2 linked regions of the Oreochromis niloticus genome follow. The protein of the gene in region 1 interacts with the protein of each later gene in a pairwise test. Links are inferred from orthologs where the notes say so. Each region holds a gene or a part of one and is shown on either strand. Other genes may lie near its edges.

Region 1 (10,967 bases):
GCTCAGGACACAGTCTCGCTGAGGACACAAAACAGGACGACATTCATCGTGAGGAAATGAGACGCGAGCAGAGTGGCGGATGTGATCGGCGCCCCCCGCTGTACCTTGTAGGCATCAACTTTGTCCTGGCCGGTGATCCGATTCAGCAGCTCTCTGCCGACCTGGACGCCCGTCACTGCCGCCAAGATCCTCCGGTCCTCCTCAGTCTGAGAGTTCAACCATCGCAGCAGCGCCACCTGCAGGAAACACGATGAGAACCAATCACAGAGTTTTTGCCTGTAAACCCAGCTGACATGCCACAGGTGTTTTTATGAACACGAAAAAGTGAAAAAGATGAACAGATTCTCCCGTAAACTCTTAAAACTAGACCAAAGACAGAGCTGATGGAGAAAGACACAGAATCCCTCTGTGCAGGTGAGCCTCAGCAGCCAATCAGGAGCAGGGACTGAACTTAAAAATGAATTGGATGAAAAACACGCTGGTGTACAGAGGCTGAGGCCTGGACTGTGGATCGGGAGGTGACTTCAGGTTTAACTCCGGGTATAAAAGAGCTGCTGACAGACAGACTGACAGACCTAAAGCGTGTACCTGCTGCCTGTGTGAAAGGAAGTACCGCGGTCAAGTGAGCCGTCATTTGTGAGCCGCAGTCAAGCCAGCCGCCTCTTTTCCGTCGCATTAATTTTCTTGCGCTTCTACACCGGCATTTACGGCAGCGCCTTTTCTCCTTATTTCCTGATCGAAAGCATAGACCTGCGCACAAGTACACGCGCAAGCAGTGACACGTGCACGCGCGCGGACTCAGACATGCACACGCATGCATACAATGCTTTGGGACATCCCAAAGCGGGACAGTCGGGTTGCATATTCAAAAATTCATTAAAAATCTTCCTTAATAGTTGATGCCAAGCTTTCAACACATTCTTCCTCTGGGACACCTACTGTACCTCTGGGCCAGGTTTCATCTCAATCCGCTGCATCAATTATTGTTTAATATTAATGGATCAAAAGTGTTGCTGAGAGAGTCATGACAGCATATTTCAGCCATATTTGCTTGTCTTCACTGACTTGCTTTGAAATCCAGATTTTAATTTTGGAATATCAGGTGTACTTGTGGTTCCTATAGAATTTTAAGGTTGAACGGGAATCAGAGTCTTCATCTCTCAGGCCTCTCTTCTGTGGATGCAGCTCACAATATTAATTCAGAAGACAAACACCCGTCTCTGCTCTTGTTATTAGCATTAAAACCTTCAGTCTTGACAAATAATACAGTCAGAGTGGATCAGGTGACCCTGAATCTTCCCTTATTTGTGCTGCAATAAGCCTCGGCTCTTGCGGGCTTCCCGTGATGTATGAATTTTTTCCTTCTTTGCTCGATCTGTGTTTATACACCTCTCTGCATTTAATCATTAGTTAGTATGTATCTCTTGCTCTCTTGCACAGTGTATATGTTGTCCTGTCTCATTTCCACCAACCTCAGTCAGTCACAGTCGATGGCTGTCTCTCCTTGAGCCTGTTTCTGCCAGATGTTTCTACCTCTTCAAATGGAGTTTTTCCTTCCCACTCTCACTAAATGTTAGCTTATATGGGGTAATTAAATTGTTGGGCTTTTCTTTGTATTATTGTTGTGTTTTTACACAACAATAATACATAAGAAGCGGATGGCTTGACCGCGGGTCACAAATGACGGCTCACTTGACCGCGGTAAAGGAAGTGGGACAGGATAACACCTGAATACACCTGCAGGGCTGCAGGTGTACTCAGGTGTACCTGTGTCTTCAGGAGTATTTGTGTATTTCCTTTCAGCTGAGTTAGATTTTAATTTGACTCTGTTGATAGTTTGATGTTCCTGTGAGCCTGCACCTGTAAAGATTACAAGGTCCATGACCCTGTTAGGGACCCTCCCACGGGGTTTCAAATGTGGGACCAATTGTTCTTGGAACTGAAGAAGCTTCTCTGATTAAGTCCAGACGCTTTTCTTTCCAGGCTCCTGAGACTACGATGAGCTGGATGACTGAGAACCTTCACAGAAACCTATAAAGATTCCTGAATAATCAAATTGTCTTTGTTCTTATTAAAAGTCTTTTTGTTCGTTTTGATTGGACCGTTTCAGCCACGCCTAATTCACCGTGACACACGCTGTGATAAAAGTTTACATTTCATTTATTTTACAACAGAATAAATTGATTTACCTGCTGGAATAACTGCGCGTTGCTCATCTCTCCTGTGGGGTTCACTGACCCGGACATGACCGGAAAACGGCCCAAAAACAGCGAAAAATCCCCAAACTAAGAAAAACGTCCCGAGATTAAACTAAAGCAAACTTCGGCAGTTCCTCTGTATTCAACAGCTTTTGCTGAATTTCATATTTATCCACATATTCGACACGACAGTTTTTGTGGACGTACGTGCCCAACTTCCTGTTTACATCACTTCTTCTTCGTCGCTTTAGAAGCAGCTCGGCGGCTCCACAGCGACACATGTGTCAAACTAAACGCTGCTTCCGTTCGCGTGCTGTCTCCGCGTGTTTGCTGCAGAGCTCCGACTGAGCGCCGGGTATCGATTTCCATTTCTATAATCTATTCAGTTCAGTTTTGACTCAGACAGTCAGAAATATTCTAATTCTGATTATTTATCAGTTCATCTCCATATTTTTATATCTATGTATAAACCAAAGCTGACACTGTGAGACTCCATCAGAGGTGTGAGCATCACAGCAGAGGCCTTTGTGTCACAGTAACTGAGGATAAAACAGAAAATCACGAAGCAGATTTTCCTGGCCTGACTTTTTATAGCAGATAACCTTAAAATATTCTGCAGTAGATCCAAAACAGAAGAAAACCGTGAATGAACATGTGAACATGACCTGATGCAAAGTCACAGAGGTTTGATTACAGACACAGCTGAGCAATCATTTTGTAAAAGTTTACATTTCTTCAATTTGAACAGCAGAAATGAGGCTTTACTGTCAGAGGCGGACAGCACTGAGCACAGCAGCAGGCTGGTGCGTAATAAGCAGAGAATAATGCAGAAAACAGAGATTTGATGGTAAAACTGACTCTGAGTGCACTGAGAGAGAGAGAGCTGTGCAGGAAGTAAAACAGCCAAAGTCAGAGGGAGTTAATGAGCATGTTTATCAAGTGTGAAGCGTAGTTCGGAGCTTCTTTTTCTGCAGGTTCAGTGAATTTTGGTTGGAGAGACAAAACCTGCAGCATCAGAATCACTGAGCTTTCGTTCTTCAGCCCTGACGGCGCGTCCGTGACGTCAGGTGAATGATCCACGCTCTCTGTTTACATGTTTCGGCTCTCGTTTACCGTTTTGGCTGTTTGCTGGTTGTTGAAATAGTTTTGTGAGATTTAACCTGAGATTTTAGCGTTTCTAGCAAAATACATTTACATTTAAAAATCGATTCAGGATTTAATGCATCGAAATCACTTTCTTCAAACTAAAATCGACTGATTTTTTAAACCCACTCCTGCTCTGACTCCATTTAAGCTCCTTTAAACAATTTTCTGTGTAAAAACTAAAACACCTGATTTCCCTCGTTTCAGTTCCCCTGGAAACAAACTTTTTAATTTTCTTTTTAATTCCTGAAAAAAAAAAATAGTCACATGACTCTTCATCTACCCAGAATGCAGTGCAGACGCATGAAGAACAATATGAATGATATTTCAGAGGGAGACATGAAGCCTGACCGTCATCAACACATTAACAGATTAACTCTGATGGTTTTGAGTTTCTTAAACATGAATATGAAGAATATGAGTTCGTCTTCATCACAGACACGTTTTATTGTTACAGACATCAGATAAAATTCATTACTGTCAACATTTGTTTCACTGCAGCTTCTATCGCTGCTGCGGCCTTCATAGCCCGTCTCCTGAGCACGATGGCAGCAGTTTGATGGCGCCGGCGTCTTTCAGAGGTACGGCAGTGCGATTCAGAGGTCACACGGTTTCAGCCGCACTCTTTGGGTTTGGAGAAGGAGCCCAGCTGTTTGGTGTTGACGTCCCTCAGCTGCTCCAGCTGCCGCTGGCCCCGTCGGTACAGATACTCGATGTGCATCACGTCCGTCTTCTTGATGCGGGAGTTCTCTCTGAACTCGTCGCGGATTCGGGGGACGAAGCCCGGTTTGTCCCGCCCGGCTCGCAGGAACTGCCGGTACAGAGCGAGGACCTGCTTCTGCAGCTTACTGTGCCGCAACATCAGACCGAGTCAGCAGAGACAAGAGTCCAATCAGAGGGCAGCTACGCACACATGACGCTCCAACACCGGCGTGTCTCCGGCTGCACTCCCTCACACGTCCACTCTGAACACACCACGAGGCTCAGCTTCACCCGTTTCTTCTCATTCAGGGTCTTAAAGAAGATGTTTGCCTGCAGGAAGAACACAAAGAGAACCGAACAACAAAACAGCATTCAGGCAGATTCATCACGTCACGGTCGCTAGTTTTATTCTCCCACAGGAGAAACTGACACCTTGAAGACACGACAGAAGGCATCTGCTCACCTGCAGCTCCACATTTGAATCCTGCAAGAACAGCTTTGCATCAATCAAAGTTCAAAATAATCCTTCTTTATCTCATGTTCTCTCTCTCAGCCTCCTAACATGCCTTCCTCCTCTCCTCCTCGGACTTCGGTCAACAGCAGCACAGTTTCCCCTGAGCCAGACTGAATATAACAAATCTTCTCCTTTTACCTGCTTGTTTTTATTCAGAATGCATTCACTGGAGTTCTGATGAAGGAACACGTTTTTGGCTCTCGCTGTTTCTGATCTTTAACAAAGGCACAGATCTAACAACACAAACACAGCTGTACTTATGTGTGTTTCATATTCCTGCACAAGCATGAACGTGCACGTGAGCCCAGACTGTTCACACAGGTGTCGACCTGCACGTAAAAGCACGTTTTTATTTCAGTAAAGACTCTTCCTCCGTACTTTTTTTTTTTTACCTGACTGCCTCTCCTGATTTTCTCATCCCTGATTGGTTTCTGTGATAATTGAACTCACCTGGCACACGTTATAACAACAACAGAGTTTAGGTGTGTCTGTCTCTCGCTAAAACACATTTCAGCTAAAATAACATGAATAAGTGATCTTTGGATTCTGATTGGATGCCCATCCTTTGACCCTCCTGAGTAACAGTTTTTACAGTAACACATACAGTAGTATTAGCATTACTTATATTATAGTACTACACGCAGTATTACCAGTAGCTATGGCTTATGAAAGTAACCCACAGCCGGTATTTGCCAAAAACTGATTGCTCGTATTTAAACTGCTATAAGTAACTTGTTGGGCTATAATATGTGAAACATATGTCAAATGCATCCCTCATGGATGACATAAAGTCATCTGGAGCCACAAACAACATTTGTGTACCAAGGTAGAAGCTGCAGTCAGTTTTTGCCAGTGACTTTTATATAACCTTTATTTATGCAGTTAAAAAGAATCTCATTAACATTAAAAATGTCTTTTGTAAGAGTAAGTTGGCCAACAGGACAGCAGAGATGGCAGCAAATATTACAATAGTTCTGTAAAAATATTTTAAGTGGGGATAAAGGAGCGGATTGGTTATAATGTAAGTACAATAACACAGAGTTGTAAAGATACTTGAAAAACAGATAATATTTTAATTCTATATAAAACCCCTTTGTAAACGCTGTTCACCGAAGTCTATTTACCAACATACGTAAAGATATTACACATAAAAAATACACGGAAACATTGGAAATCAGTCTTTGGCACAACACCAGCGGCTGCTGGACCTCAGAGGATTGATCAGTGAGAGCGATCAGTTCAACTTCCTGTTTACCTGACGGAGTTCCGCTCAGACCGGTTCGGACCGGCTCCGCTGCTTCACCTGTTTGTCCTATTCCACCGTCACAGGTACGTCTCCCGGCTCTCTGTGAGCAGCTCCTCTGTGACCTTACTGCGTTATAACACCGGCCTCAGCCGCAACGACCAGGACAAACTACAAAACACGTGATTTCCGGGTCAGATTTTCACAATAAAGCACGCACACAGACAAATTAAAGCTCATACCCGTTTTAAGAACGCTGCTCCTGATTGGTTAGAGCTCAGTTACCTTCTGATGTGTTTATCTGAATCTGGACCGTCCAAAGCGCCCGTGGGGGGGGGGCTGTTCGAGTGGGTTAAAAGCTCTTACTGCGGCGGCGCGGAACAGGAAGATTAGTAGCACTTCCGGTGTCACCTTCTGGAGTCAAATGTCAAGACAGGCGAGCTGAAGGAGGGGGGCTCGTGCTTTTATCACCGGCATCTGTTTCCGGGGGGAAGGCTTCGGCGATTTATGACGCCGGTACCTGCGGAGAAAGTAACGAAGTACTTTTAGTGAACTACAGTTTTCAGGATTCAGATCCGACAGTAAGAGAGGAAGCTCTCCCAGCGTCTGTCACACCTGGTAGACACCAGAAACACCACACCTGGATCACAGGTGAGCCTCCGCGCGCTTGCAATCACAGCCTCGAGCTCTGCGGTGTTTTTTTTAGCTGATGAAGACGCTCTCTGTTCTTCCTCTTACAGACATGGAGATGACAGCTGAGGAACAGCAGCAGGTGGAGGAGCAGGTGGAGAGGCTTTTAAGTGGGCAGGGGTCAGAGGTCACTGTGTGTGATGTGGGCCTGGAGCAGAGCAAACCCGCCACCCTGAGGAAGAACGTCACCTACATCGTCTGTGCTGTCATCTTCAATGAGAAGGTGAACAGAGGTCACCACAGGTAGCCACTCCGTCTCATCAATACCCTTAAATGATTGCTTATTTAATTAATTAACACTCCTTCAGGAGGAGGTGCTGATGGTCCAGGAGGCCAAACCGGACTGTTACAAACAGTGGTATCTTCCTGCTGGGAGGGTGGAGGTGGGGGAGAGCCTGGAGGAGGCGATGAAGAGGGAGGTGAGTGAGGAGGAGCCTGTAAGAGTAAGAAGCTGCAGCTCCTCCAGCGTCCAGCAGGGGGAGCAGCGAGTCAGGCCCCATAGACTCCCATGTTAAAACAAACCTGTTTACAGCCTGATACACAAACAGTTTGGTCTCTGTGGATCATATACTCCTTCATAACAGCTGTACACGGAAGAGCGTTTCTATTACTCACCTGTTCAAATTGTATTCAGGCTTAAAGTTTGCATTATTAGAGGCGTGGCCTCTTTGACTGACAGGTAGATGGTGGTACAGGTGGCTGTAGCAGCTAGCTGTCTGCTAGGCTTCACCTTAACTAATGGGAGTCCCTGAACTGGACCCCTGGACCCTGTTTGTGCTGTTGGACCCTTTTGGAGCTTTTTAATGACATCATGTGACCAATAATATGCCTGCTGTGAGGTCACTGTTAAAACAGAGCATCCAAGGAGGCGGAGCTACAGTTCAGATATTACTGAGCACTGATTAGCAGATATGTGTTTGTGTGATGTTTGCATAAGCTCTGTGAATGCAGCTTGCCAACTTTCTAACCAAGATATGCCAAATACGGTCACTTAAGGTTGAAAAAGTCAAAATACTGAAATAACAGTTTGTTTTTTCATTGGGTAAGCACCGCCTTCCTTGCTTGCCCTGACAGAACAACACTGCTTTACAGAGATCAGGGGGCGAGGAGGAGGAGTGATCTGGCTTTAACATCAGTGTTATGTCACCTGTGTGAACATGTTTGTTTTTTGTATATCAATAAAATGTCTGAAAAATCATAATCAGAGGCTTTGCTTGTTTTGAACCTTTTTAACATTGGAGTCTATGGGAATAACTCGCTGGTGGAGCCCCAGGTGGACGTTAGAGGAACTGCAGGTTTTGGTGTTTCAGTTTTTTCTTTTTTAAAAAAAAACTCTTTTATTACAGTTTTTTCTGATGGCTTAAGCACATTTTTTGTAACTATTGGCTATTTTTGCAAAACTCTACACACAAATAAGAAAACTCTTCACCCAATCAGCAAAACATTGTAGTTTCCTTGTAAAAGCGAATAACCTTTGCTTAACTCTCCACACCTTTGTAAAAATGGTATTTTCGTATCCAACAGTTAACACAAGCCATCATATTAATAAGCACACAATGCACCAACTACACACTGATGGTATGAATGAAAACACATCTGGCTTTTGCTTTCTCTGTGCACAAGGTAGGCTATGTCAGATTGAGCTCATACTTTTGTCATAGATCCGTAAGCATAGAGGGATCCAAACTTCAAGTACTGCTGTTTATTCACACACATCAAAACAAACACAAGTGTTTATTTCCAAGTATAGGATTATTTCCAATCACCATATTGACTATATGGGTTTCTTGGTCTGCAGTGAACATGCTTCCTCTGCTCCCAGCATCTGGTCGTCTAGCAATTCTGTAAAGTAACAATTTCAGTATTTTTACATCTATGGTATTGTTGTGTTTCTCATTAGCATGGCAGTGCTACAGATCTTAGTGCAAAGTGACTGTACTAACCGACTCTCATTTCAAAATGTCCTTATGATGCTTGCTACAGTGTAGCGGCTCGAGTTAGGCTGAACCCGTTGGCCTCCTCTAATTCTCACTCTTCCTGCTCCCTCCATTGTACTCCACACACACAGAGCTTACCTGTAGCTTATTTAAAGTGCTTAGGCTGATTGCAAAGTGATCTAATGATCTAAAAAAGTTTTCACATGTGACAGTGTGCCAGACAGTTGGCAAAATAGTGTAAATAATGGCTATAAATGTGTAAAGTTTTGCTAGGAGTGTGTTGATCATTTGGAAATTGAGTGTAAAGCCGTGAGTTGTGTGTTTACAGTTCTGCAAAAAGAGTGCTGTGCAGTGGATTGTAGCTACAGGTTTGCAAAGTGTGTGTTACAAAATGGCAAACTGAGTGCAAAGCAGTGTTTGTGCTTTTAGTTTTGCAAACTCAGTGAGTGGTTTTGCCATAAGTATTAATAGTTTTAGAAATTGTGCTATAAGAATCACAGTTAGGGTTTAAGCATTCAGAAAAAACTGTAAGAAAGTACATTGAACATAACAGTAGTATGACTCTCTACATTGCTTTTGCTTTCAGATTTGTAAACTTATAGTTGAAAACCCCCCCCGTAAGAACTTGGGTTGGGGGTAGTGGGGTAGCCAAGTTAGCTTCGCGTTATTAGCATGGGTATTTCAATCAGTGCACGAGCATAAAAGTGGCAGGCTTGATAGAAAATCCCACCTCACAGGCTCAAACATATTCTGTAGAAGGTATCCGTCTGCACTTTGAGAGAGAAAGACAGTTTTTCCATGGTATAGATGTCTTCTACAGAATATATCCAGTCTTCAGTCAGGCTTGAACCATCTCCTCGTGAGGGCCTGTTTACTCACATCCGGCAGTCCCAGGAATTATGGAAATGGTTAGCACCATCTCCTCCACATCTCCAACAAGTGTCACCAGTTCCCAGATACCTTTTCTGAGCAGGGGGATGAAGAATCTCATGATGCTTTTCCAGCAAAATTCACGCCAAACAACAGTGGTAGTCCACTGTATGCATATGTGGTCCCAGCACTCCTCTGAAATGGTCAGGTTAGCTTTTTTCCCCCACTTCACTTTAACAAACAGTGCTTTTGTTTTTACACAGGATGCTGTTGTATAATCTGGAAATGATTTTATTGTGTGCTCCAGAATTAGTTAATGATACAAATGTTACTACAAATCGTAGATTGTTTATATTCACTTTCAGGTCTTGATTAAAATAATTTCTGACCTGTAGATATCTGAAGAAATCGTCTGAGCTTAAATCATATTTTCTCCTTAAGGTTTCAAAGCTTTGAAACGCCCCCTTGTGGACAGATGATAATAATTAGTTAGGCCTTTTGGAATCCAGTTCCTGAAGCTCTTATCGCACTGATTCAGGGTAAAGTCTGAGTCATATATGCTCCATCTAAAGACTTTAGAGGCATTTTCAAACCACAAATTCTTATTGCTTCACTCCAAGCAGATATCATTACTTGTAGGATGGGTTCATCTGGCAGGTTTGTTTTGTTCTGTAGCTTTGTGTCTGATATTAAAGCTGTAGCTGGTATTACTTTAACATTTGTTCCTTCCAGATCTTTCCATCCCACAGTGTAATCTAAACAACAGAGACATATCAATGGCCTTTTTGTGGTGTGGGAATCTGTAACGACTGAAACAAATGCAGCATGTTTAATCTAATGGATTCAATCCTAGAGTGTAGGTCCAATTAGGGATGGTATTCCATTATATCAGATTTTATGGATTCATTCACAGGACCATAGTTGGCATCAAACATTTTGGTGACATCACGATGTATTACCACCCCTACGTACCTAATTTCCATTTCCAGCGATTCTTAATTTCGATTGGTGGATCGTAGTTTAGAGTTAGTACCTGCGTTTTGTTTACATTAACCTTGTATCCTGAGAAACTCTGAGAGCATTTCCATGATTTTGGGGAGTGCCTGTGTGGGACAGGATGTAGTAGGTCGTCGGTGAACAGTGCTACTCTCTGGTCCCCTCCTGCCGTTCTTACTGTCTCTGCCTGATCCACTGATGGTTCTGTAAACAAGCTGTTTCTGATGATTTAACGATCTTCACAGCGTAGCCTCTACTGGACATGTCCTTAATGGCTTCCACCGCTGTGTTGTAAATCTTTGTTTATCGGTATATTTCACCTTAGCTAAGCTGGAGGGGATCTGCTGCTCTTTCAGAGTCTTGCACGCGTTGGCGTATTCTCTTGGTTTTTTTAGAATCGGGGGGTTAGTCATGGTCCAAACTCACGTGGTTGGAGGTAAATCCTCTGTTCTGCCATGCCTTACGAAGCAGCAGTTCCTTTGTTTTGAAGCTGAGGAATTTCACAATAATAGATCGCAGGGGAGCGTCGCCTGGGGGTGGTGCGCCCGTTCGATGCGTACGTCAAGTTTATCTTGGGACAGCCCAGGCCTTCCCGCGGCAACTTCTCAACAAACTCACTCATTGTTGTAGAGCCCGCTCTGCTGTCGCGGGTACAGCATAAAGGCTCTGTAGGT
Region 2 (10,665 bases), on another chromosome or scaffold:
CCACTGTAGTGACCACTATGCATGAAAGGGTTAAAGAAAAAGTTGCATCAAAAGATGGATGTGATCTCTTAATATGTGGAAGCACGTTTCTCTTTTTCAGTCTCCTCCACACACAGACTCAAATAGCTTACATTTAATAAATGAAACCAATGACTCTCTTTTTTTTGGGGGGGGGGTCATACTCACACTGAGACATAATTGAATCGGCCATTCCCACTAAAGAGGCCTCTGACGCTGTAATCCAATAATACACTCCTTTTCGTCCACTTTGAAGAGCATCTTTTAAGAATGTTCCTTTAACCCAGACAGCAGAGGGTGCTTGCAGCCTGTAGCTCAATCTTTCTCTGTTTCACACGCACACGCACATGCCAACACACACTCATCCCTGAGCTGCATCTTGGCAAGACAGCAAGACAAGGCAGTCATTAGTATACAAAATGCACCCTACTCATTGGAGCATTAAACTTGAGAGACGGCCATTTCTGGTGATGTAGAGTCATCTCTTAATGTTGGTTTGTGATAGTTTTCATATCCGACTTTACAGTGAATTATATTCCCTCCTGCTGTTGCTCTCATATCTTTCTCCCTTTCTTTCTCTCTCCCAGTGTCGGTGTGTGGCTCTGCACCGCCACAGGTTGCCAAAATGAATGAGAAGCTGTTGGAAGCCAGTCTTCAGTTCAAGAAGAAACAGCCCAAAGGCAACATTGATGTGTGGTGGCTGTTTGATGATGGAGGTAATTCTTGGCTCATTTTTATGAACACTGCCTGAAGTTCGTAACAGATAGGTGCACACAAATCCATAACATTCTCCTCGATATCACTGGAGACAAAAATATATGAAACAAGCCAAATCTTTAAAAAGTAGTAGTCTCTGAAAGATGCAACATGGAGCAATAAATAAAAAATGTGCTTCTCTTCTCTCAGGTCTTACACTGCTCCTCCCCTACATCCTCACTACCAGGAAGAAGTGGAAAGACTGCAAAATGAGGATCTTCATCGCAGGACAGCCTGGACGCAGTGATCTGGATAAGGAGGAGTAAGTAAACTAATTAATATTTCAATATCAATTGCAGTTTAATATGTGGAAGTTAGATTGGATACATTAATTGGCAAGATATGAAAATTCATGTGCTGCTAACGTTACTGGAATGCTATTTAGCATTAACACCAAAATAATGAAGTACATTTATATGAAAGCTAATCAGTGCATGGTGATTTGACTTGCAGGATGAAGGGCTTGCTGAAGAAGTTTAGAATTAACTGCAGTGACATTAATGTCTTTGATGACCTACATACCAAGCCCAGGTCTGAAAGGTAACTGCCATTTCTTTTCACATGCACAAGGAACAGCGAACCAGATGCTGAAGTAGTAATAGTAAAAATTAATCACATTGTAATATCAGCATGCTACAGGTTTAGGGGAGAAAAAGAACATTTATAGAGAAAGCTCATGTTCCTATTTGCATTTGTCCAGCTTGAAGGAGTTACAGGAGATGATTGAGCCTTTCCGTCTGCATGAAGGGTCCAAAGACCCTGATCAGATTAGAGCCTTGCAGAAAGAGCAGCCCTGGAAGATCACCGACAAAGAGCTAAGCCAGTTTGAGGAGAAGGTAAAAACCACTGACACTAAGTAATAACCTTACACAGGCTACAGTGAAGATATCATGTATTATCTTCATATCAATATAAACAAAATAAAAAATGTATTGTTAAAAAAAATAACTGTCGCTTTTGTTACAGACACACCTCCAGGTACGACTGAATGAGCTCCTCAAGGAACACTCCAGATCAGCCAATTTAATCATTGTGTAAGTATATATTGTCTGAATAACACTACCAAGCATAATCCAGTGTTGAAAGAACAATGTCTAACATATTTGTTTACACTGTTGACCCCCTGTAGGAGCATGCCAATAGCTCGTAAAGAAACGATCTCTGATTTCCTCTACATGGCCTGGCTGGACATTCTGACAAAGGACCTTCCACCCACCCTGCTCATTAGAGGCAACCACAAGAGCGTGCTCACTTTCTACTCTTGAGCACTTTCCATGCTAACAATCCGAGTGTGATATAGCTAGAAAGGAAAAGGAATGGTGTTGCCATAATGACAAGCCATGTTTAAATAAAATGGCCGGCAGAAAAGTGTAACACAATCAAGCATTTGTGGATAACTCCAGTTGAAAGCATGTATGTGTCAAATGATACATCAAAAGTCTAATGCCCTCTAAGAAAGGACACACACACATGCAACAAGTCTGTATTTCCGAAATTGAATTTGTAAATGTGAATGTGTCTGAATATGAATTTAGCAGCTTAGAAGAACACATAGTCAAATCAATTCAAATCAGTTCATAAACAAAGGCAGAGACACAACCACGGCTGTGCAATGGTCATACTGAATGTGACTGTAAAATAATTGTATATAGTAGATGTGTGTATTCTAGAAATGATCAACATCTTGTTATTGGCAACTTTATTATCAGTTCTTTTTTTAAACACTTGTTATATTCACTGTGTAAAATACACTGCTGCCATTATACAGATGTTTACCTTTCACGTGACATTTTTTCAATATTTTTCATGTTACTTTCATAGTACACTTTTTAAGGGCAACAGAATAAGGTAGAACATTATAAATCAGATTATTCTGTAAATTTTACCCTTCCTATTTTAGTCTATCTATTTAAGCACATAATGTTAATCAGCTGAAATAAAGATTAAAAACATTTGTGATGTCTTCTTATGTGAATATATTATATTTATTTATAGTGTCAGATGTTCTTAGTCCACAGAAATGTGTCAGTGGAGGGGGAAATGGGGTATTTGCCGCAGCATATAATTTAGATGTCTATTCATTTTAAATGTATAGTATCTTACTTGGCACCTTACAGACTTCATTTGGATATTTTCTCATTTTTTGATGATTATGGTTATATATAGTTTGGAACACTGGGAATAAAAAGTCTGCACACTTTGAAAGTAGTCAGCAGAACCTAAGGTTTAATAATGATGATGTTCATCAGACACATTTATTTATTGCAAACCATAAAAGATCTTTTGGGTTAAAAGTAAAGCTGCACATGCCACCTACATATCAGCCAAATCAAGATCAGCCTTCCCTATCAGCAAATAAGACGACCTTTACCGTTGGCAGTAGCCATAACCCAGTGTCTATCTGTTGTGTCACATCAACGATACAGAGTTCAAACATAATTTAGCTCACTCTAAAACTATTATTTTAATTGCTGTAGCTGAAATTTTGCAGAAAATTTTGCAGAAAACAAAAAAACACACCTATACAGGCATAACCTGTCAGTATTGGGCCACAACTCCCTGATCATATTATGTGTCTATGAATATATTACACTGAATGTGAATCCCCTTTTAACCACTTTAAACCCACAGACAGAGCTAAAATTTGTAATCCAACAGAAACTTTTTGACTGATGGTGATATTCAAGGGAGAAAATCTTAAAATTCAACTCTGTTCTCAGATAAAGGGTTATAGATACTCTGAGTATGATCTTTGAACATCGGCTGTTTTTTCACTCATTTTCAGGCCAGTCCTTGTACCTGACCATGTTTTTGTTTGTTTGTTTAAGTTGTTTAACAGTGATCTATGAATCATTCAAGCATTAAAAAAAGGCTGTTGTGTCGACACATACTGTAAAAGACAACTTAATTCCTAAAGAGCTGACCCAGAATATGAGAGCTGCATCTGGCCTTTCAGTTGAGAACAGAGAGAACAGGTGGAGGTATGCCAAATGACACAAGGGCAAATCAGTAGTACCAGGTCTTATGGAGGGAAGAAAAAAATTTGACACTTTTGGTTCAAATCATCAATGTATACAGAGAAGGCAAGGAGTCCAACACTGAGTGTCTACAGCCATCTGTAGGCTGTGGTTTGGGACTGCATTTCAGCCTGTGATGTATGGGATCCTGTCAAAATCGATACACTCAAGAACCAAGAAAAATCTGATTTTGAGCCACTATGTAGTACCATCTGGAAAGCATCTGATTGCCAATAGCTTAATTTTTAAATATGACAAAAATCCCAAACACATGGCCAATCCAGTAAAAGCATACCTAGATAGAAAAACAGCACCACTGGTCATGGATTGGCCTCACCAGATCCTGGACCTTAACTTTACTTAAGCAGCGCGGAATCATCTTTCCAGAGAACAGAGCGAAGCTGTTTCCAAAAAACAGCTTCAAGATGCCTGAAGAGTTCAGGCTGTGTTGACGAATCAAGGTGATCATAAAAAAATGTTGAATTTCAAGGTTGCTAGAATTGTATAAAACCTGTTTTACAGATATAAATATATATCTATATCACTCTCTGGCTCGCAGTATATAAATTACTGCATCTGTATGTCCCATTTTGCTAGCAAAATATAAAGAAATGAGGGTTGGCTCGAGACTTTAACACAATTAAGAGAGATCTGCACTGTGATGGAGAGAGAGCTGGCTGCCATGTCATGAAGACCCTGGAAAGACTCATCCTTGACCAACTCCGACCTATTGTCAGGCCACATCAGGATCCCCTTCAGTTCGCTTACCAGCCCCGCCCCGCCTACAAGAAGAGCCAGAGTTGCCTCTATTTTCTGAGGTGCTGAGGTCTTTTAAAATCTGTCAGACAATGCTCAGGATTTTTTACAAGTCTGTTGTGGTCAGTACCATCCTCTATGCTATTGTGGTCAGTACCACCCGCAGGTTGAGGGTCGCATATGCCAATCGACTCAATAAAACTGATCTGCAAGGCCAGTAATGCTGTGGGGATGGAGCTGGACTCCCTTAAGGTGGTGTCGGAGAGGGGGATGTTGTCCAATATAAGGACAATGCAGGATAATACCTCCCACCTTCGCCATGACGTGCTGGCCAGTCAGAGCAGAATATTCAGTGAAAGACTGAAATTACCCAAATGCACCAAAGAACGACGCAGGAAATCAATCCTGCCCATCTAATGCACACTACACAGTGCAATAGTTACACCCTTTTGCACATGATCTTTTTACATTATTAAATTTAGTTCAGTTTGTTACTGTTATTGTCTTACCCACATTATTACTTAACCACATTATTTCCTTGGCGATTAATAAAATATTTTGATTCTGATTTAAATCGTGATACCAGCACGTTCAGATGCTGTGACCTGCAACGGCATTTAGGGGTCATGCTGTGGCATATGGAGTCGGAGAGGATGTCCTGCTATTTGGAGATGACAGCACAGCAGCATTTTGGGATGATGCCACATCTCGGTGCTGATGCCACGATTTGAACTACCCCCGTGTGCTGCCACATCTCGGTGCTGATGCCACGATTTGAACCACCCCCGTGTGCTGCCACATCTCGGTGCTGACGATTTGAACTACCCCCGTGTGCTGTGACAGCAAATTAAATTAATATTTAAGAACATACCCTATCAAACAGAATGGGTTGCGAGTCGATACGACGAAGAGTACATAAATCGTGTTTCGTTCCTTGGTTGTAGCCTATAAAATCGTTTGCGTATTTTATAGGCTGCTGAAGCTTAGAGCCGCTCCGAGACACAGCGGGGGGGGGGAGTGCGGCGTTGGTGAACCTGAGAAACCTGCCAAACGACATTATTAACAGTATGGCCCGAATGCTGCTAAAGGACTTTCAGCTATGCTCGTGGGTTTTTAACGCTGCTCCACGTTTCTTGGGTAAAGAACTGCACTTTCAAATGACAACTAAAACTAAAGGCAAGCAAGAAATTAAAAGCGATAACACCGCCATGACCGACACGCCAGGAAGTGCTTAATGGCGTTAGCTTTGCTAGCCTGTCTAACGTTTTGTAACTGTCTGCTTTGGTTTGCTCGTGTTGTTTTCTTTCTTGTTTGCCGTGTTCGAACCACGTAAGCTAAACAGTCCTTCTGTTTTGTTCGGATATATAATGTATAAGGCTTATGTCAACGATTTCCTTTTTGTTTTTGTAGGCTGATATATTCTTCCACCGGAAGTTCGAAATGTTTATATTAGTAACTCTCGCGAGAAAACTCGCGTTAACTACTTTGACGTAGAGCGGGAATTTCATACAAATTATCTCGCAGACCCGGGAATACACTGAAGCAGATTCTTGGTGGAAGTTTGTAGTGTCGTCCTTTAATTATCAATAACTTAGTTTTTAGTAGGTTTTAATTTTTTTAGTGTACTGTAGGTTTTTAATTTTGCATACTTTGCCAACATGCCCGTCCTAGAAGTCACAAATGCTTCTGCAGTTTCTCCATCAAAGAGAACAAGGACAGAAACACACCCTGCAGAGGAAAGACCTGTCCTCAAATTTGCTAAACTTTCTGAGCATGCTACGACCCCGACCAGAGGCTCAGCTAAAGCAGCAGGTTATGACCTTTACAGGTTAGTAACTCTTTAAACTGAAATTGTGTTAGGTTCACCAGACGCCTAATTTGTGACTGTTGATGTGTGTGCATGTATATTTAAGTCTGATTGTACCTTTAACTTGAAGTATTATTTTAAAAATGCAGATAAGCTTACCTTTACTGTCTTTACTTAACAGTGCGTATGATTACTCCATTCCTTCTATGGATAAGGCCATTGTAAAGACAGACATTCAGATAGCAGTTCCACATGGCTGCTATGGGAGAGTTGGTGAGTGTCTCTCTGCTATTCAATTTTTATTTGTTTTGGGGTTTTTTTTGTTTAAAATTTTATTTGAGTTACCTGTCGTGTGAACTCGTGTTAGGCTTTCCTGTTTGTGCACCAGTTGTAAAACACCAGGTCATCTGTAACTGTCTTTTTGTGGTTTTTCCCTCCCCAGCACCAAGATCTGGACTAGCAGCAAAACACTTCATTGATGTTGGTGGTGAGCTAGCTAGCTATCTGACCTAATCATTGCAAGTTAACCCCAGTAGTGTACAGACATCTTAATTTGTCTTATGTGTCGCATGTTCTCCTCAGCTGGAGTTGTAGATGAGGACTACAGAGGAAATGTGGGTGTTGTGCTGTTCAACTTTGGCAAAGAGACGTTTGAAGGTGAGTTATGGTGACAATAATGTATATTGTCAGTCTTTCATAACCACAGTAACCAATGAAAGTAGTCAGATTAGGGGATGACATTCATGCGCTCCACGTATGGCTTGAAAATATAGATGCAGTATGGTACAAAAGTAGACTTGGATACTTTAAAAGATTGATGCAATTATCAGCTTTTATTTATCACTAAATTTTGTGATTTAAAAAAAAAAATAAAAAATTGGTATTTTGTGTGAACGACTTTATCCATAAAATTGTATCAGTTTACTTTTTAGAACTAAAACTGGGTATTGTGTCAGCTATTGGCTTCACTTTGAAGACCAATATATTATATTGCTTATATTTAATTTAAGCCAAAAAATAAATAGTATTTTTACTGTTGACACTTTTCAGCCTATTGCAGAGCTCATTGGAGCTTAATAATGGAAGTATACACATAAACACTTGATATGAAGACTTTTATCGATCAGTCAGATTTAAAGGTTATCTCATCTGCTTCCTCTTAACCTTACAGTGAAAAAGGGCGACAGAGTTGCTCAGCTGGTGTGTGAGAAGATCTGCTACCCAGATCTGGTGGAGCAAGAGGTAAATTGAATTTATTGGGTAGATCTAATTAAAACCGGTGCAACATAAATGTTTCATGATAGTCATGAAAAGATGCGAAGCTTCAGCTGTGTGGCTATTAGAAGCTGCCATTTTTTGTTGCTCTTGAACTATTATAGGCTACACTACTTAAAGATGTGTAGGCTTATGTCTGTGAAACAAAATGAACTTGAACAGCACTACAAGTGACACAGAAATTGTCAAAAAGCTGAATCTCATCCTCTGAGTTTCAGAACCAGAAAATTAGTCTTCTTTAAGGTTGGGGTTTTAGTAGGATTTCAGCTAAGTATACTTAAAGTGCTGGTTTATTGCTACTTTTTAAAACTACTTTGTGGTGGCTGTAGTTTAGGAGGTAGAGCAGGTCATCCACTAATCAGAACGTTAGTTGCTCCTGCTCCAGTTTTCATACCAAATATTCTTGAGCAAGATTATAACCCCAAGTTGCTCCCCAGTACATCCATCTGAGTGTGAATCTTAAGTAGAAAGAATAGAGGGGAAAAAGTGCTTGGGTGAATGAGGCAAGTTGTATAAAGCGCTTTGAGTGTTCAGAGTAGGAAAAAGAAAACTATGTAGAAATAAAGGTTTAATAATACATTTGTTTTCTTGTGTATTTCTTCAGATTAGTTTTAGTCTTTAAATCCAAGTATTTGCCTTTATTTATTTATTTTTTCTGTTTTAGACACTCGATGAAACAGACCGTGGCGCTGGAGGTTTTGGATCAACTGGAACCAACTGAAACCCTCAAATGTGTTTTTAAAATATGTTACTTATAACTTCGATAAAATAAGAAATAAAGTTTTGTTTTATATTTGAGTCTAGAGTTTTGCTGGGACTGAAAACCATGCGTTCCTAAAGTTATAAATTCTCAACAAAGTTATTCGTCCAGATGGCCACATGGGGGCAGTCATACACAAGAATGTAATCTGCTCAAACTATTTCATCTGCCAGAGACTTGGTAACTTCCCTTTACTTAATACAAACGTGTGCAGAAAGAGGACATATAGGTGCCTGCTCAACTTGGTAACAATGGTAATACAATTCAGATAAAGGGGGAAGCACAGCAGTGAGTACATGTACTCCAAAAATGTTTTTATTGTGAATTTACATCTAAACCCTCACTGATGTGAACATGGAACACAGACTGGTGTCAGGCTGGTCCATTGCAATGCAGCACTGATTTTGACTTGTGAGAGAGTATGTGGCCATGAAGACCTCAGTGCATAATCATGAAGGCCCAGGTTTGGCATCATCAATGTGTTTTTTTTGTGTGTGTGTGTGTGTGTGTGTGTGTGTGTGTGTCTGTGTCTGTATGTATGTATACACAGTTTACAAAGGAAGTAGTTGGTCATTATAAGCACCATTACAACCCCTTCCCCTCTATTCCAGGGGCTTCCTCTAGTTTACAAAAGCTTCATAGATTAAAAGTGGCATTGATTATTACAGTATAAACACAATTTACATGTAGTATAGAGGAGAGCAGGCAGGCTATGAAGCTAGCTGTTACTGTTGCAAAGACATGAAACCTTCAGAAAGGCCAATGGGATTGCGCCTTGTTCACTACTGAGTGCATTCAAAAGTCTATGTGGATGTGTTGCTAGCACCAGTAAATATGAATTATTCTAGTCAGTAGGAAAAATGGAAAAGCATAGTTCAAATATGCGGTAGGAGTCGTTCAAGCTCCGACATAGCTACATCTCAATAGTCCACAATGGGTTCCTCTCCTCTCCTAAGCCTTATTTGGGGAAACAAAGAAATGTGTGTATCCAGGTTTGATAGTCATTTACCTGAGGGGAGGAAATGAATTTATTTCAGACTATTGGGACTCGCCTCTTTCTTTTTATCCCCCCGCCACTTAAGCTGAGTTCTAAGAAAACAAACAAACTTGGCCCTTAGAGCTTTCTGCAGTCCACAAGCCCTTCAATGTGGCATCCGATTCCACATATCATTATACAAGATTAAACCATACAATTACAAACCCTATCCACACCCTCAATAGTGCTTTAAACGCAGCTGGTGTGTCGGGGTGATATGCTTTTTATTTCGACTGGAATCTTTCACACCTTCGGTGGATACTTTCCACAGAAATTGTACCTATGATATGCAGAATCATCTTTGGTGATCAAATGACACAAAACAGTCCATCCCCCCACCCCCACCCCCGTCTTGTCTCTTTGGTGGCGAGCCCTTCTCCCGGTTAGAGCGAGTAGACGTTAACCCTTAGCTGCTGACCCAGAGTCAGAAATGTTTGGCCTTTTTCAGGGGGGACTGTGAGCTTGACACTGGATTAGCAGCTGCTGGCAACATCTGCCTCTCTCAGTCTTGTGATGGTTAATGGAGGATTATCTGCACCCTCATCTTCAGTATGTCTCCCAGCTGTCCTGTGAGGTAGTCTTTATCATGTTGGTCCTCCAGCAAAGCCAGCTCCTTCTTCCTGTACAGGGGCATACTGCTGATATGAAGGTAGTATGCACCTGGCACGAGGCCCTTCTTCTTGCTCAAGTGCAGGTAGCTGACACCCTCCCTCTGGTTGATTTTGAAGTAGCCTTCCTCATTTCCGTAGTCGATGCTGTAACGCACATGGTCGCTCAGTGTGCTTAAGGCCGGGGTAAACTCAAGGATGTGGTCGCGGTTACTCAGGTCATTGATGTTCAGGTGGAACTGGAGAGTGTCTTCGATGTCCACACTGGCCAGGCTGACCACCTCTGTCTCAGTTAGCTGCAAAGAGAAAATGTGGTCTGGCTGAGTTTAGAGGCTAAAGATGTCCAAGAGTAAAGTCATGTGCAAACACAGCAGAGTGAATCTGTGAATCAGTGTTAATTAAATCTGACTAGAAGCTGGAGACATTATGAAAGGAAATAACTTGTAATCGGTTGGTAGATCTGTCATTTAATACAGATTTTCACAAAGTTGTTTCCTTTTTTACATGAAGATTTTGGTCCCATTTCTGTTACAAGGCCTTTCCCTGCTATAGGGGGGGAAACTCTTTGGAAGAAATCAGAGACCTTCATATATTTATTTTATTAAGACTTAAAGTAGTCAAATACAAACGTA

The links.
Region 2: the proteins of nudt18 (region 1) and dut interact in binary tests that used the Homo sapiens proteins (3 or more experiments, as listed by UniProt). The two-hybrid records come from large-scale screens. The link is inferred for Oreochromis niloticus from reciprocal best matches to the Homo sapiens genes NUDT18 and DUT.

What each region holds. Positions count from the first base shown.
Region 1 is NC_031977.2:38,177,783-38,188,749, forward strand, and holds the start of nudt18 (8-oxo-dGDP phosphatase NUDT18), read left to right. Parts: upstream 1-6,314; 5' UTR 6,315-6,451; intron 6,452-6,540; 5' UTR 6,541-6,542; coding exon 6,543-6,713; intron 6,714-6,798; coding exon 6,799-6,909; intron 6,910-10,967. Other genes in the region: uncharacterized protein LOC100698890, read right to left, coding at 1-18, 105-236, 2,190-2,246; sdhaf1 (succinate dehydrogenase assembly factor 1, mitochondrial), read right to left, coding at 3,955-4,203. UniProt on the Homo sapiens protein: Mediates the hydrolysis of oxidized nucleoside diphosphate derivatives. Hydrolyzes 8-oxo-7,8-dihydroguanine (8-oxo-Gua)-containing deoxyribo- and ribonucleoside diphosphates to the monophosphates. Hydrolyzes 8-oxo-dGDP and 8-oxo-GDP with the same efficiencies.
Region 2 is NC_031965.2:12,770,438-12,781,102, reverse strand, and holds dut (deoxyuridine 5'-triphosphate nucleotidohydrolase, mitochondrial), read left to right. Parts: upstream 1-5,545; 5' UTR 5,546-5,614; coding exon 5,615-5,723; intron 5,724-6,218; coding exon 6,219-6,375; intron 6,376-6,535; coding exon 6,536-6,627; intron 6,628-6,796; coding exon 6,797-6,841; intron 6,842-6,936; coding exon 6,937-7,011; intron 7,012-7,525; coding exon 7,526-7,596; intron 7,597-8,293; coding exon 8,294-8,350; 3' UTR 8,351-8,427; downstream 8,428-10,665. Other genes in the region: slc12a1 (solute carrier family 12 member 1), read left to right, coding at 606-734, 925-1,036, 1,228-1,314, 1,475-1,610, 1,741-1,808, 1,904-2,039. UniProt on the Homo sapiens protein: Catalyzes the cleavage of 2'-deoxyuridine 5'-triphosphate (dUTP) into 2'-deoxyuridine 5'-monophosphate (dUMP) and inorganic pyrophosphate and through its action efficiently prevents uracil misincorporation into DNA and at the same time provides dUMP, the substrate for de novo thymidylate biosynthesis.